2 linked regions of the Stegostoma tigrinum genome follow. The protein of the gene in region 1 interacts with the protein of each later gene in a pairwise test. Links are inferred from orthologs where the notes say so. Each region holds a gene or a part of one and is shown on either strand. Other genes may lie near its edges.

Region 1 (7,410 bases):
TGGAAACTTGAAAAATTGCAGTTGCCAAAGCCAGACCCAGCAGTAAATAAACCATGGGAATGGAACACAGAGATCCATAAGGAATGCACCAGACATGACAAGAAACAAAAGCATCCAGAAGTGAACAACACACTATACAAAAAGCCATGATGTGGAAAGGCCAGTGTTGGACTGAGCTGGATGAGGTCAAAATCACAAGCGACCAGATAGTCCAACAGGTTCATTTGAAGACACATGTTTTCGGAGTCTTGCTCCTTCCTCAGGTGTCAGTGAGAGGTGGCATCAGACACAGAATTTATACGCAAAATATCAAAGGGTCATAGAACTGCTGCAAATGCATTGAACAAACCTAAGATGGCTGTTAAATCGTTAATCAGTTAGAAAGGATTAATACGCAAATCCCAGAAATTTTTTCAAGTCACTGCCCCAAGATAACTAAACGTGTTATCAGTATACCAAAGGTGACACCTCAGGTCAGACAATGCATTTTAGGTGGCAGAACTTGTTTAGAATTTGGCTGTGTATTTACTTGGATTCAGACTGGTTTTATTTGAAAAATATTCTGGGATTTGCACATTAATCCCTTCTAACTGATTTAAGATTTCACAGCCATCTCAGGTTTGTACAATGTATTCGGATCAGTTCTATGATCCTTTGATCTTTTGCCTGTACGTTCTGTGTTGAATGACACCTCTCTCCCTGACACCTGAAGAAGGAATGAGATTACAAAAGCTGGTGTTTTCAAATAGACCTGTTGCACTATAACCTGGTGTTGCGTAATTTTTGGCCTTATACAACAAGCATCATTGAAGAGTGAGAATGAGGTCCTGAACATTGCTTGGTCAGTCAGCAACCACAAATACCTCTGTCCTGAAATTCTCCTCCCATTGAGGAGGAAAGTTGATGAGGTGGTTAGTACTTCGACGCCAGTTTTGAAAACCTCTCGATAGGCATTTTAAAAAAAACAAGATTAAGCTTTTCAAGTCAATGGGTTGCTGAGGAGTGGGGTATATTACAAGTTGCAAGACTCAAACTTAATGAATAGCTACTGTTATTGCCAAGAGTTAATTATACTCTCTCAGGAAGAAATCCTGAAAATTATGTTCTTGAGTAATAATGACAGTAGGAGGTCAAGCCATAATTTACACAGACTGCCAAAAAACAAGAAACAAGAGATTATAGTAAAAAAGGCCATTCTGAATCCAGTATTTCAAACTCCAGCCAAATACTCAAATGTTCAAAATGGAGTCTCACGGCGTTAGCGATACGAACTTCACAACAGATGATCATTTTGCCAACTCAGCACAATCTTGAATGGGATTTGCACTGATTACGTAAAGTAGTATGCAGGTCTCAAGAAATACTGTAAGATACACTTAAAATGAAAAGAGTATTCAGGACTGTATTTGTAACATTTCAAGCCTATTTTGTGCTTTAAATCAAGATTGAAAGAAATACAAAAAGATAACTTGTGGTTGACTCCTCTGAAGGCTCAAAAAAGTATTTAATCACAAACAACACTGCACAAAAGCTGCACAGCCATTTTAGTGGCTGAAATGTCTGAATATGCAAGTTACTTTTAGGAACAGAAACTTCAAACCAAGCATTCTGCTGTCAGCATTTCTTGCTTTAGTCAGCTGATGGATGTCTATTCCATTCTTAATGCTAACATACACTACAGACGACTAGCAGAAAAGCCTCCTTACACGTAGCATTTGGATTGATGGGCAGAAGGCTATACTCTCCTACAGGTTCTATTTTCCCCAAATTAATATTTGCATTTGATTGCTTATTTTGGATGACAATCCACTAAATGACAGAACATCACTGTCGGAAAGATCAAGACTACAAAACATGCTGACAGATTATGAAGCTGTCTGTTGCCACGTTATGTTTTAATCAATGATTATGCTGAAATATTAGAACTTCCTGTATGATCCTTCTGATAAATATTATATATAAATTTGACAAGGGGCATCTTTTTCAAACTTAATGGAAACTATGGTATTACTATGTACACATTTTGAAATCATCGTAAGTTAAATGCTCTCTCAACTATTTCAGGATTTAAAGGCACAAATTGAATAGAGGAAATTTATTTCTTAAACATACAGCACAGGAGGCCACCTGATCGATCTCTTCTGCACTGGTTCTTCTGAAAGCGTATCTATTTATTCCCAAACACTCTTCCTTACCGACAGACCTAAAAATCTATCCTAGTGCAGCTGGAAGCAGTTTCAATAGCAGATTTAAAAGGGGAATTAGATAACTATCGGAAGGGAAAAATAAATTGTAGAACTACAGGAAAAGGATGAGAGATTAGAACTAGCTAAGTTGTTCTTGTAGTATGCTAGCATGGACGCAAAGGGCCAAATGGTTCCCTTGTGCTGTAATTATTCCCTACTTCTATGGAATCCTGTTAACACGAACAATCATTCTTCAAGAGACAGTCAACTGCGTTAAAAACTGTCATATCGGCTACATGTCAATACAATTGAAATAAATTGGACATGGACAAAGGTTTGCACATGAGATTATACATATTTCAGTGATTACTAGACAGAATATTTACTACAAAACCTGTTTTAATAACCAATGCTCAAATACCTACTACATAGTGTAACACTCAGTAATAAATTATCAAATTCAAATTAACAAATTACTGATTTCATTAACACTAATCAACATCTCAGCATTTTTCTGCACAATACAATAAATATGTAGATAGTGGTGATATTAATTTCAAAATCTTCCAGATCTCTCAATTCTAGTGCAGTTCAAGTGGGAAAAATACCAGTTAGTTAGTGACCTAATACAAGAAGGAAGTTTCACAGAAAAACAACAAGTGCTTCCACCTCTAGCAGGTTTCCAGATGTTTCACTGCTCAAAAATGCAGTCATCTACACAAAACCTGATGCTAATCGAGCCACAACTGGAATTAAATTTCAAGTTCATCAGAAAAGATGAAAGTTTTTGAAAAATAGTTGCAGAATTTCAGGAGTAAATAGAGTTTTATTAATTTTTTGACTCTTGTCTCTTTTGAAGCAATTTTAAACATTCATAAAAGTATAATAATGGCAATATTGCCATAATAATGACCATACAATACTGGCAAACATATCAATTCCAGTCTGTTTTCTTCATTGCTATGGATATTCAGATTGTACACAGTCAGTATTGCTAAAGCATTGTATTAACAGGAAATATATTTAACTCAAAACAAAACAAACATGCTGAAAAATGGGTAATGGATCAAAGTGTTTCACTTTTATAGCCATTGCATCTGATCAGTTTGTTAAATTTGGAAACCCACCACCTAAAGTGGTGTCTCTTACAGTACTAGTCAAAGACTATCTTTCAGCTTTAAATCTCATTCAACCATACCTGGTTTTGCATTTACACAGAGGAAAGCCTGGAAGCTGGATGCACAGAGCTCACTAACAGTTCCCATCACTCGGTTCAATTTTTTTATAATCCAAAAGCCGTCAAATGTATTTATCTCAGTGGATATGGGCTTTTCGCCACACAGGCTTCACGGGATAATGTAATCTCTCTGGTAGTCAGTTTTGAAGTCCTCTCCCAAATGGGGAAATACTGTCATCTGGTTTTTCTCTATATATGTAGTCCCTTGGTGCACCACTGCAGCAGACTGTCAGTAATCGAATTTCACTGGCCACACATCCAGGAAAGGCTTAAATATTTCCAAATTGCCAAAGTGTTTCAACGTCACTGCCTGACAACCTGCCTCAGTATTCATTCAGCCAATCAGGTGCACATAGATGACAACACAATCTAACGTCTATTTAAGTAATAAAGTCAAATAATTGTGAATTACTTGCATCTCCAACCTTAGCTCCTACCAGCCCTTGTCAAGGTGAATGTTATTAAGTTTTCTAGGGGCTTTTAATTTATAACAAAGATTCCATGTTCACCTACAAAACCTTTTTCATTGTTGCTTAGCAACTTACTCTCCATTACATAAAATGAACGCACTAAAAATGTACTCAGTATTGTGTAAAAGGTTTTTTTTTTAAAAAGTGTTAGAAATTAAGACTTGCACTATTACTAAAAAAACTTGAAAAGTAATTGCAATTCTTCAAAAGAATGAAAAGAGATTCTTCTAAACAAGGTTCAAAGATTCCAGCTTCTATGATAAAAGGAGCAGTATTATCCAATTTGTTTGTTTTTTAACATGTGATTTTGCCAAAGCTGGCTACAGTACACAATACTACAAAATAGTACATTCAGGGATTTTTTTTGGCAATGTTTTAAATGATTGACTAATCATAATTAGTTCTAAAAATATGCCCTTTGGGCATGCAACATGTTTTTCAGTAATTTATATATTTCTGGTCAAAGGTGAGAAGATAAATGTAGAGCTTAACACGATATAAATTTATTTCACTAGTACCCAGATATGTTTTAGAAAGCAACTTCTCTTTTTAAATATTCATCTGATACTGTTACAGTTGTTTTTTTAAACATCAGAAAAGCACTGCAGCAATGTGTTCAATTTGTCATTTTTTTGGCACACATTTCTTTGTAATCTCACTAGGATGCAGGTACAATTTAACAAATGTCATGAAGTTTCTTTTCCAACAATCTCTTACAGGTTTATAATCTCAGTTTTGATTTTCAGTCAAAATGCTGATCAAAACTGAAGTTCTGCTCTCTTATGCCACAGTCACTGGTGCAATATGAGGAGGAGTAAAGCTATTTGACTGCTATCAAGTTTGATACCGGATCCAAATTCATTCAAATGATGTATTGTTGGAAGACTTCAGAAATGTCAACACATTTTCTTTTTCCAAGATACTTTCAATCTTAGATCTATTCCTTTAAAGGAAAAGACTATATAGTCCTCATGTAGAAATGAAAAGCTAAAATAACAGGAGCTGTCAGCAAGTGGGGAGTAAAAAAATAACTTATGTATCTAAGAAAGCAGATAACATCCAGTGACTGTGCAGCGCTCCATATATGGCAAGCTTATTTATAGGGCAGACAATGCTTTCAGACAACTATAGCGGACAGCATCCTCGTGTACTAAAACGACATATCAAGTTGTAGTAGGGTATAAGGATGCAACTCCATCCCTCCGATTCACAATATGGCAAATTCCAATTATCTGCCAATTGATCGGCGAAGGACCATTTACCATGAGGAACCGTATTGAAACTGAAGTTATATCAGCTTCACATTTTTTTTTATAAAAATGTTCTGTTGATTTACGAGCAACGTTGATGAAGTTTTTCTTTCAATTCTTTTGTTGAGCCAGCATGTATTGCACATCCTTGGTTGCCCTTGAGAAGGTGGTGGTGAGCTGAACCACTGCAGTTCATGTGCTCTAGGTAGACCCACAATGCAGTTCGTGAGGGAATTCCAGGATTTTGACCAGCAACACTGAAGGAAAAGTGATACATTTCCAAGTCAGGATCATGATTAGGAGTTAATTATCTATGGCTGCAATGGTCCAAGAATATTGTAGTTATGTTATAAGAACTAATACACGTGTACATCATAATAGAGTAAGAAGAGTATATGTAATAGGGCTAACAAAGCAGCAAATTAATATTGGTGATGTTTTCTAATTTTAAGACTACACAAATTATTAACAATGGAGTTGTTGATCAACGTGCAGCATCTTTGCAGTTGATAAAAATAGCACTTTTATATCACAGTAATTGGGACCTATACAGAACAGCATAGGAGCAGGAGAAGCTCATTCAGCAGATGTCAGCGATTGTATATAAAAACTTCTGTGTAGTCCCATTGATCAAAAACAGCTATAGGGTATGTAAACATACGTTTCAAATCAGAGTCCAGTTTGGTGATCTAACAGCAATGATAAAATATGGAGAAATATAATCAAAACCTCAGAAGTTTGTAAGAAAATAAAGCAAAGAACTGCAGATGTTGGAAATCAGAAACACAAACAGAAATTGCTAGAAAGAAACTCAGCAGGCCTGGGAGTATCTGTAGAGAAAAAGTCAATGTTTCAGGTCCAGTGACTGTTCTTCAGAACAGATTGTAGCTAGGACACAGTACTATGCTATTCAGTGCTAGGTGGTGCCATACACACATTCTTAATCTCTCTCTCCAACAGCACCATCTCATGCTGGCTCAGAGCTGCCGTGACCCCAGTTCCATTTCATCCTCCGCCTCATCCAACACTAACAAGAATTTTTTCTTTTCCTTTCAGGCACTACTGAACACAAGAAGCAACACGTCCCTCTGGAAAGTTCCTCTCGCCCCTACCATCCGAACCCCCTAATCCCACCTCCTGTTGTGTGTTTACTATTTGTCTGACCTTAAGTTTCCTGATGCTGAGTGTTCTGTACTCAGCAAAAATCTCAGTTTTAATGTCTCTGCTTCATCCCCCAACCAAATGAATTTTGGGCATGACATGATGTTGAACTCCTCTTCCATCATTTTCACCTCCGTTCCTCTTTCTTTGGATGAAAGTCCTCTCCTAGTTCCACAAACCCCTTCACCCATCACCAACACTCTTCCTCCATTTGGACCCAAACCTGTGGTATTTACCGCCACTCAAAGTCACACTGGTTGCCTTAATATCTCTGCCTCCCAAAAACTGTGAACTGACTGCACTCCGTCCTCTCAGATCCAACCCTGACTTTGTAATCAAGCCTGTCAAGAAGGGTGGTGCAATTGCTGGCACTGGCATACTGGCCTCTTCATTATGGCTTCTGAGCACCAGCCCTTGGACACCTCTTCGTACTTCACATAGGACCATGACTCCACCACAAAACACCAGGCCACCGTGTCGCCAACAGTCACTAATTTCATGTCATCTGGCTATCTCCCCACCACTATCTCTGAGCTCATAGTCCTGCAAACTTCTACCTCTTTCCCAAAATCCACCAACAGGACCGCCTGGCAGACCCATCGTTTATCCCTGCTCTTGCCCCACACAACTCATCTCTTCCTACATCGACAGAATTGTTTCACCTCTTGTCCAGTCCCTTCCCTTTCCATCTGTTTCAGAATCTCCACTTTGTGGACTTAAGCCACCTCTTCTTTACCATGGACGTGCAATCCCTTTACACATCCATCCCTGATCAGGTGGTCTCAGGGTTTTCCACTACTTCCTGAAAAAACAAAAGTCTGAACGATCCCAATCCACCAACACCATCCTCCTCAACCTGGCCAAGATCACCCTTACTTTAAGCAACAACTCCTTTAACGCTCCTCTCTTTTCAGGTCAAAAAGGAGGCCATGGGTACCTGCATGGGCCCAGTTATGCCTGTCCCTTTGTGGAGTACATGGAACATACCTTGTTCTCCACCCACATTTCTTCAGTATATCAATAACATTGTCGGTGCTGCTTCCCTCTCTCACCCGGAATTGGGAAATGTTATCAATTTTGCTTCCAATTTCCACCCTGCTCTCACC
Region 2 (7,410 bases), on another chromosome or scaffold:
ATTTCTCTTGAAGTGTTTTCTAGCACACACAGGAAGGCAGAGTGTTGATAAAGTGTAAAAATATAGATGCTATGTGCAAATGCACCTTTTCTGCAATATATGCATCACCTTTTCATTAGAAGGTTGGACATTTCAACAAATTAACATGAACAAAGTACTGATTGATTATCTTTAATTTAATTAATTCACCAAAATCATATGACACTGAAGAAATAGTCAATAAAATAATCTTCCAAATCTATTCAAACAAAATAACAGAGATGCTAAAACTTTGAAATCTCAAATTCATTATTAAGTATATAGATATATTTTGATTCAGATTCAAAGGAAAATAAGGGATGAGTATCTTTATGTAAAACTGTACAATCAGACCACAAACTTAAAAGCACTTCTACGCTGTTTAGAAAGGTTGGGATATTGACTGTCTAAAATAACTACAGTTGATATAATTTATTTGAACTACACAGTAACTGGATTGGTGCATTTTTTTCTGGAAAGGAGAATTCCAAACTGGCTGATAAATTGAGTCGAGTCATAGCGATTCCATGATCAGTTATATACATGAATAATTACTTTACAGGTACTTATATTCGTTGCAATTTCTCATTATGTGTTTTACAAGATAATTAATTCAGTTTATATCTCCATCTTGCAAGCATGTTGCTGAATTGTTTGTTTGTTCTTATTATTCAACTGTTAAACTGACATTCAAAAAACAGATTGGAAAGAATACCTTTAAAAAATGCAATCTTGTTTCAAGTTGATCTCTTCTGATAGAGTCCTTATGAACAGTTAACACGCTGTAAAGTAGAGGTAAAGTTCAAGTACAGAAAACATTGCCTGACGCAGGCTTGCACTAAAAAGATATCCGTTCCCCCATAACTGTCAGTTGGTGGCTGAAATATGTAGTTTTCTACAGGATGCACTGCAGCTATGCAACAGAGATAGTAGGAACTGCAGATGCTGGAGAATCTGTGATAACAAGGTGTAGAGCTGGATGAACACAGCAGGCAAAGCAGCATCAGAGGAGCAGGAAGGCTGATGTTTCGGGCCTAGACCCTTCTTCAGACTCTTCCATTTCTGAAGAAGGATCAAGGCCCGAAATGTCAGCTTTTCTGCTCCTCTGATGCTGCTTAGCCTGCTGTGTTCATCCAGCTCTACATCTTGTTATCTCAGCATTGCAACAAGTTCACTTCAAACACATCTCAGCCTCCAAGCCAAACAAGTGCAGAAATATTATATGCAGATTATCACCCTGAAGTTCCCTTCCAAGTAAGTCATTCTTACATTGGGATAATGATGTCATTCATTGTGAGTGCATAAAAATCCTAGAATTCTCTATCTCACACCACAACATGTGCGGTTAACTGCCTTTGCAGACTAACTAACAAACATCAGTCTAATTCAAAAAACATTATTTCAGACAGAGCAAAGCAGGAGGATATTCCAAATGACACTGCATTAGGGTTTAAAAAATGATGGAAGAGTGATATTTTAAAATTTATTTAGTAATGACATATAAGCAAAGGACATTTAAATTTATTTTCTTTCAATGCTATTATCAAGAGAAAAAGCAAAGAGTTGAACAAAACTTTGGTCGACGAGGTGAGTTTTGACAATTGTCTTCAAGAAGGAGAGTGATATGAAGAACTGAGGAAATTTTTCCAATGCTGTCATCTGCCTTTTATCGTTCCAGGAACATATCTGTTCCTGATGTTAATGATCTTCATATGGGCAGTGGAAAAGCTGGCCTCCAACTCATCAGCACTCCTAAGCCAGTTCATCTCCTAAGGCTGGTTAAAAATCCATCTCCTGAAACGTCCAGTTCAAATGAAGGCAAGCAGGGTTCATGTCAGGGCAAGTCATTGAGACCGATAGGGTTTCAAAAAGGAAGTGCTCAGCAGAGGTTTAACGACTTGTCCTTTTGAAGTTAAAGTTACAGCAGTCCATCACAGGTCAGGGGAGGAGTCAAAATTAAGAACTTTTCCAGTTTAGGGAACAGTGGGCGTAGTTGTCTGAACTCCAGGTAAGCTACAGAAAGATGCAGATGGAAGTGGATTCTGCACCCTCAAAAAACTGAGGTCACTGAAGATGAGCTGCAAAGATAACTAGCAGCTTCAGTGATGGCTGCTGTAGCTGCCTGAATGTGTCCCCCACTCCATTTCACCTGCCTCCATTCCTGAGACCATCAGCTTCAATCTGACATGAAATCCTTCAATTACTTAAGAACTCACTCCACCAGGAAGCAGGTTTCCGACACAGTAATAGGCTCCTGCTTCCTACCTCAGTTGGAAGAATTTGGCTTAGCCAACTGAAGGCTGGCAGTGCTTGGGCAAGGGGTGAGGAAGTACATAATGGGTCAGAGTCAAAGAGACAGAGAAGTTTAATTGAAATGGGACTGGTGAAATTTCAGGGCCAGAGAGGTTGTTGGAAAGTAATTTAGACATCATACTGCTAGAAAAATATATCAGTTAAATTTGAATGGACAATCACTAGCTTTCTCTGGCGTGTTAACTTTGTATTTGACAAGGATCACAACTTTATGCCCTTCATATTGTTAAATGCTCAGTTTTGTTTTGCCAAGGTATCAGTATTGCAAAGTTTTTGGAAGAACAGAGCAAATTGTACAAAAGCGACACCAATTGAGGTCATACAGTTGCTTTTATTTCATCAGATATGTTTTGAACCCAAATATGTTTAAGAATGGTAATGCAACAGCAGTGATCCCATTTTCAAACACCATAAACTGGTATTATTACATGTTTGTGGAAGAAATAAAATCAACACCAAGAATGAAAATCCCACTTCAGCAAATACACCACTGAAGATTTTTCCAATTTAAATACACAGAACAGAAATGACTATTGCTAATCTGTGAATCTTCCCTTTAAAATGAGAGGTGGCAGCAAGTTTTCCTTGCACTCAGTGACTTAAAACACTTGTGGTGTTGTCCCTGAGAGTAGCCAAAAAAAGCTTTCTGTAATCAGTTACACCACTTCATATCCCCTACATGCTCTGTAACTTCCTGGTCTCCAGAAAAAGCACTGTTACAATGTTTGCTTTAGTGCAATATTGGCAAAATTGAAACTGTTACCAGCTACAGAAACAGAGGATTGCTCTGGGATACTAACCTTAATAAATTACCAGATGACTTAATTAGATCGACAATTTCTTGGTGACTAAACCCTTCAGTATCCACTCCATTGATGTTAACTAGCATATCACCTGTTATATAGAAAAATAATGAGTGATAGACAGATAAGGAAGCTATGTAATGAACTATATGTAATTACTGCACATTGTGAGAACATCAGAGCCAAGCGGGCCAAAAGAGGAAGTGGATAGTTACCAGCCTTCAGCCCTGCGAAATGAGAAGGACTGTTGTCATGCACCTTGCAGACAAACGTGCACCTCTGTAATGTATTGGCATTTTGCTGATCCATTCCAACGGTCTACAAGTGGAAAAAAAAACAAAAAGACCTGCTATTTATTTCTGAAACTAATTGTAAAATTAGCATTGAGTTCTATCTTGAAAATACTGTACATATATAATTTTCTCACCTGAATCTCAAATCCAAAAGTTTCATTATCTTGCTTATTTAAAACAACCATTTTTCTGTTTGGAAAACAAAAAAAGTAATTTTTTTTATAGAATGGAGTAAGCATTAGAAAAAATCTAACTCCTGGAAACTTATAAGCATTCTGTCACTTGTAAAATAAATGGTACATGCAGCATTCTGCATTTTGACTGTAACAACATCAGGATCACACCAACCTTCTTCTGACATCACAACAGAGTTAGATGCCAGGGAACACATTATCTTCTGATATTTAAAATCAACAGTACAAAAGTATATCTTACTTTCGAAAATCTGAAGTGTCAGCCAAAGAGTTTGATCTAGTCAATGAAAGCTGCAAAGGAAAGAAAGAATCAAAATTAATGTTGTCATCAAGAATTTCTGTTTGGAGACCCAACCACATCCATTAACCTACCTCTGATCAACACTAGTCTGACTAAAACCCTCTCCATTTTTGTGCCCTGTACTATTTCTCTAAATCAGTTACATGTTTCACCAAGTCTTGCTAACTGCTTAATAAAGTAAAAGCAAATTTAACATAATCTGTACTCAAAACACTGACCAATTTAATAAATTGCTTTGCAATTTTTACTTATTTTGTTTTAGTTCACATTTATTGAACAAAAATTACAATCTGAACAGGAAAATATTAGGAGCAAAGTATCTTTATTCTACTAGTTTATGGAGAATCATTATAGCATCCGCTACAATGTTATCTATGTACTTGTTAGAGCTGGGCAATAGTTGTGTCTGGGATGTCTGCTTTACCTGTCTGTGTCCCCGGGGCAATGTTCCCAGCGAGTTGGCGAGTATCTGAAGCCGCTTGTTGTCATTTTCGGCAGAGAAGCTCCGGTTGGAGATCTCGGAATAAGAGCCGCAGCTGGCTGATGAAGAATCCGCTGCCATGTAATTCGCGTTGACGTTAATTTGAAGGACACTTTGGAAAGTCATGATTGCGAATCAGCCAGTCTCATCGTTGTAAAATAACCTGCACGAAGTCCAGCAAAGCTAGATCGAGCTTAACTCAAAGCGTTCACAGAAGTTGCACAGACGGAAATTCAGGTCATGTGATTTGGTTTTGTGGGCACTTGGCATTTTACATCAATCGGCTACGTTTTCGCAAGTTGCTGGAGGAAGGGTTGGGGACCAAGCCTTGCCTCGCCTAACTTTTTACAATCCGACCTTGGGTTGCAGTTTCCAAGACAAAGTAATAAATTAAAATTTTAAAAAGGCTGGCCAGAAAACACTGGAATTGCTCATTTAATGGTCTCATCTATGTTTTCTTCATAGTTTAGATCCATTCAATTGAAAAGCAGTTCGATTTTGACCCTGTTTTTAAAAAGTCCACAGTTCAGTTTAACACCCAGGGCAGAGGAGGCCAATGCCAGTCAGTTAGTAAAATATGGTGAGAGCAGAAGTATGAAATTCTGGATCTAAAAAAATTAAGTCTTTTATTCATTTTCCACTGTGACGGCAGGCAAGAATCTCCACAGAGTGGCAAGAGGCCAATTTGCTCCAAAGATACTGCTTGGCCTGCTGTGTTCATCCAGCCCCACACTTTGTTATCTTGGATTCTCCAGGATCTGCAGTTCCCATTATCTCTGCATGCTTTAGCATCTCATTTTTACCAATTCTTATCACTGTTGTTTTCCAGATTGCTACTTTTCCAGATAGTGGACTGAAACTAGGAAGTAATAACTCCAGGCAGGAAAGTCTGAGCTGGTAGTTGGCTGCTGTTGCCATGTTGCATGCCCTTCTAGCGTCCATCCTGTCCCACAGTCCTCAACATCTCAGGGCACACTCCATGGGCAGCAACCACCTGCATCCTTCATCCATGGAGGTTGGAATTGGATAGGCAATAGCCTCACCAAGTCATCAGCTTCACAAGGTCAGAAAGAGGGATCACATTCACAGTGAGAGATAGCCAAAGTGAGGATATAGTCTGAGTCTCTGGCAGCAGCTTGGAAAATCGATGCAGAGGGAAAGGCAAGCTTTTTGCTTGCTTTCTTTTGGCTCGTGCTTTGTAAGGTTTTTTTTTAAACAGGATAAATTGAAGTCCAGGATCAGGCACCATGCACAAGAGAGTGATGTCACACGTAAACCATAAGTTCGTTGGTTGGTGAAAGCTACTAATTTGACTATTTCAAATTAGCTTCAAATCTAAGGTAAACCGCTGAAATATGTACAGGTTACAAACTAAAAGGCCAGTACTTTTTTTTAAATCAAATGAAGAATTAAGTAATTAAAATAGAGATACCAGGCCAGGCGAAATGTATGAACTGGGAGCTGGTGGACTCCATTATGGTTCGTACTGACCACATCTGCGCAAGTATTGGCTCAGAGCTGATGAGCTGGAGTTTGAGCTTTGAACACTGAAACAACATCAGGGAGGGGGAGCGTTACCTGGATGCACTGCTTCAGAAGATAGTCACACCCCTAAGATTAACTACCTCAAATCTGGTCAGTCATCAGAGAGATGTGAGAGTGTGACTATGAGCGAAGAAGAAGAGAGATCCAGGAGGTAGTGCTAAAGGGGACTCAGCCCTTGAGCTTGTCTAACTGGTTTGAGATTCTTGCTTCTTGTGTGGATGAGAGCAGAGACTGTAGACAGGATGAACAAACTGACCTTAGCACCATGGTACAGAATCTCTGTACCTTCCTCGCTCATAGTCACAATCTCCCATCCCTGACCACTGACCAGATTTGAGGTAGTTAATCTTAGGGGTGTGACTATCTCCTGAAACAGCGCATCCAGGTAATGCTCCCCCTCCCTGATGTTGTACCATTCTAGAGGGGCACAGAAATGAAAAATTTACTTGTATTTGGAGACAGTATAGAGTCAGGGGAATAGACAGTGTCCTCTGTGGCCAGGATTGAGAGCCCCGAAGGTTGTGATGCCTGCCTGGTGCTTGGGTTCTCTCATCTGGGCAACAAACAAATTTCGAGTGGGAGGGTTAACATCCGGTTATCATGGTCCACATGGGTGCCAATGATATAGGTTGAAAGAGGAAAGAGGTTCTCCTGATTGAATATAAGCAGCTGGTGGCTAAATTAGAAAGCAGAACCAAAAAGATAATACTCTTTGGATTACTTCTGAGCGATGAGGAAACAGACACAGGGCGAAAAAAGTTAGAGGTAAACATGAGGCTCAAAGATTGGCGTGCGAGAAACGGTTTTAAATTCATGGGACAATGGTACCAGTGTTGGGGAGAGAGGGAGCTATTCCGATGGGACAGGCTCCACCTGAATCATGCTGGGATCAGAGTTCCTGGCAAATCATCCTGGGGTGGGGGTGAGCTGTCAGTTACATGGAAAGTTATGGAAAAAAATTAAGTTGGGGTGGGGGAATGTCTCCACAGAGCGTATTACAGTTTCCACAACAAGCAAGAGAAAGAAAAGAAAAAAAGAGCAAGAATGTAACTTCAGGCACAGCAGATAAAGGGACAGCTATGACAATCTGGCAGTCAACGCAGGACTGAAGGTGTTGTACTTAATGCATGCAGTATATGAAACAAGGTAAATGAGCTTGTAGCGCAGATTGAGATAATGGGAACTGCAGATGCTGGACAATCCAAGATAACAAAGTGTGGGGCCGGATGAACACAGCAGGCCAAGCAGCATCTTAGGAGCACCAAAGCTGATGTTTTGGGCCTAGATCCTTCATCAGAAAAGAGGGATGTGGAGAGGATTCTGAAATAAATAGGGAGAGAGGTGGAGGTGGCCTGAAGATGGATAAAGGAGAAGACGGGTGGAGAGGAGTGTATGGATGGGGAGGTAGGGAGGGGATAGGTCAGTCTGGGGAGGACGGACAGGTCAAAGGGGCGGGATGAGG

What was found.
Region 2: the proteins of cyth1b (region 1) and cytohesin-interacting protein-like interact in binary tests that used the Homo sapiens proteins (3 or more experiments, as listed by UniProt). The link is inferred for Stegostoma tigrinum from reciprocal best matches to the Homo sapiens genes CYTH1 and CYTIP.

What each region holds. Positions count from the first base shown.
Region 1 is NC_081375.1:16,532,426-16,539,835, forward strand, and holds the start of cyth1b (cytohesin-1b), read right to left. Parts: upstream 4,006-7,410; 5' UTR 3,452-4,005; coding exon 3,385-3,451; intron 1-3,384. UniProt on the Homo sapiens protein: Promotes guanine-nucleotide exchange on ARF1, ARF5 and ARF6. Promotes the activation of ARF factors through replacement of GDP with GTP.
Region 2 is NC_081360.1:57,647,879-57,655,288, forward strand, and holds the start of cytohesin-interacting protein-like, read right to left. Parts: upstream 4,615-7,410; 5' UTR 4,530-4,614; coding exon 4,347-4,529; intron 3,913-4,346; coding exon 3,863-3,912; intron 3,617-3,862; coding exon 3,562-3,616; intron 3,453-3,561; coding exon 3,350-3,452; intron 3,226-3,349; coding exon 3,132-3,225; intron 801-3,131; coding exon 734-800; intron 20-733; coding exon 1-19. UniProt on the Homo sapiens protein: By its binding to cytohesin-1 (CYTH1), it modifies activation of ARFs by CYTH1 and its precise function may be to sequester CYTH1 in the cytoplasm.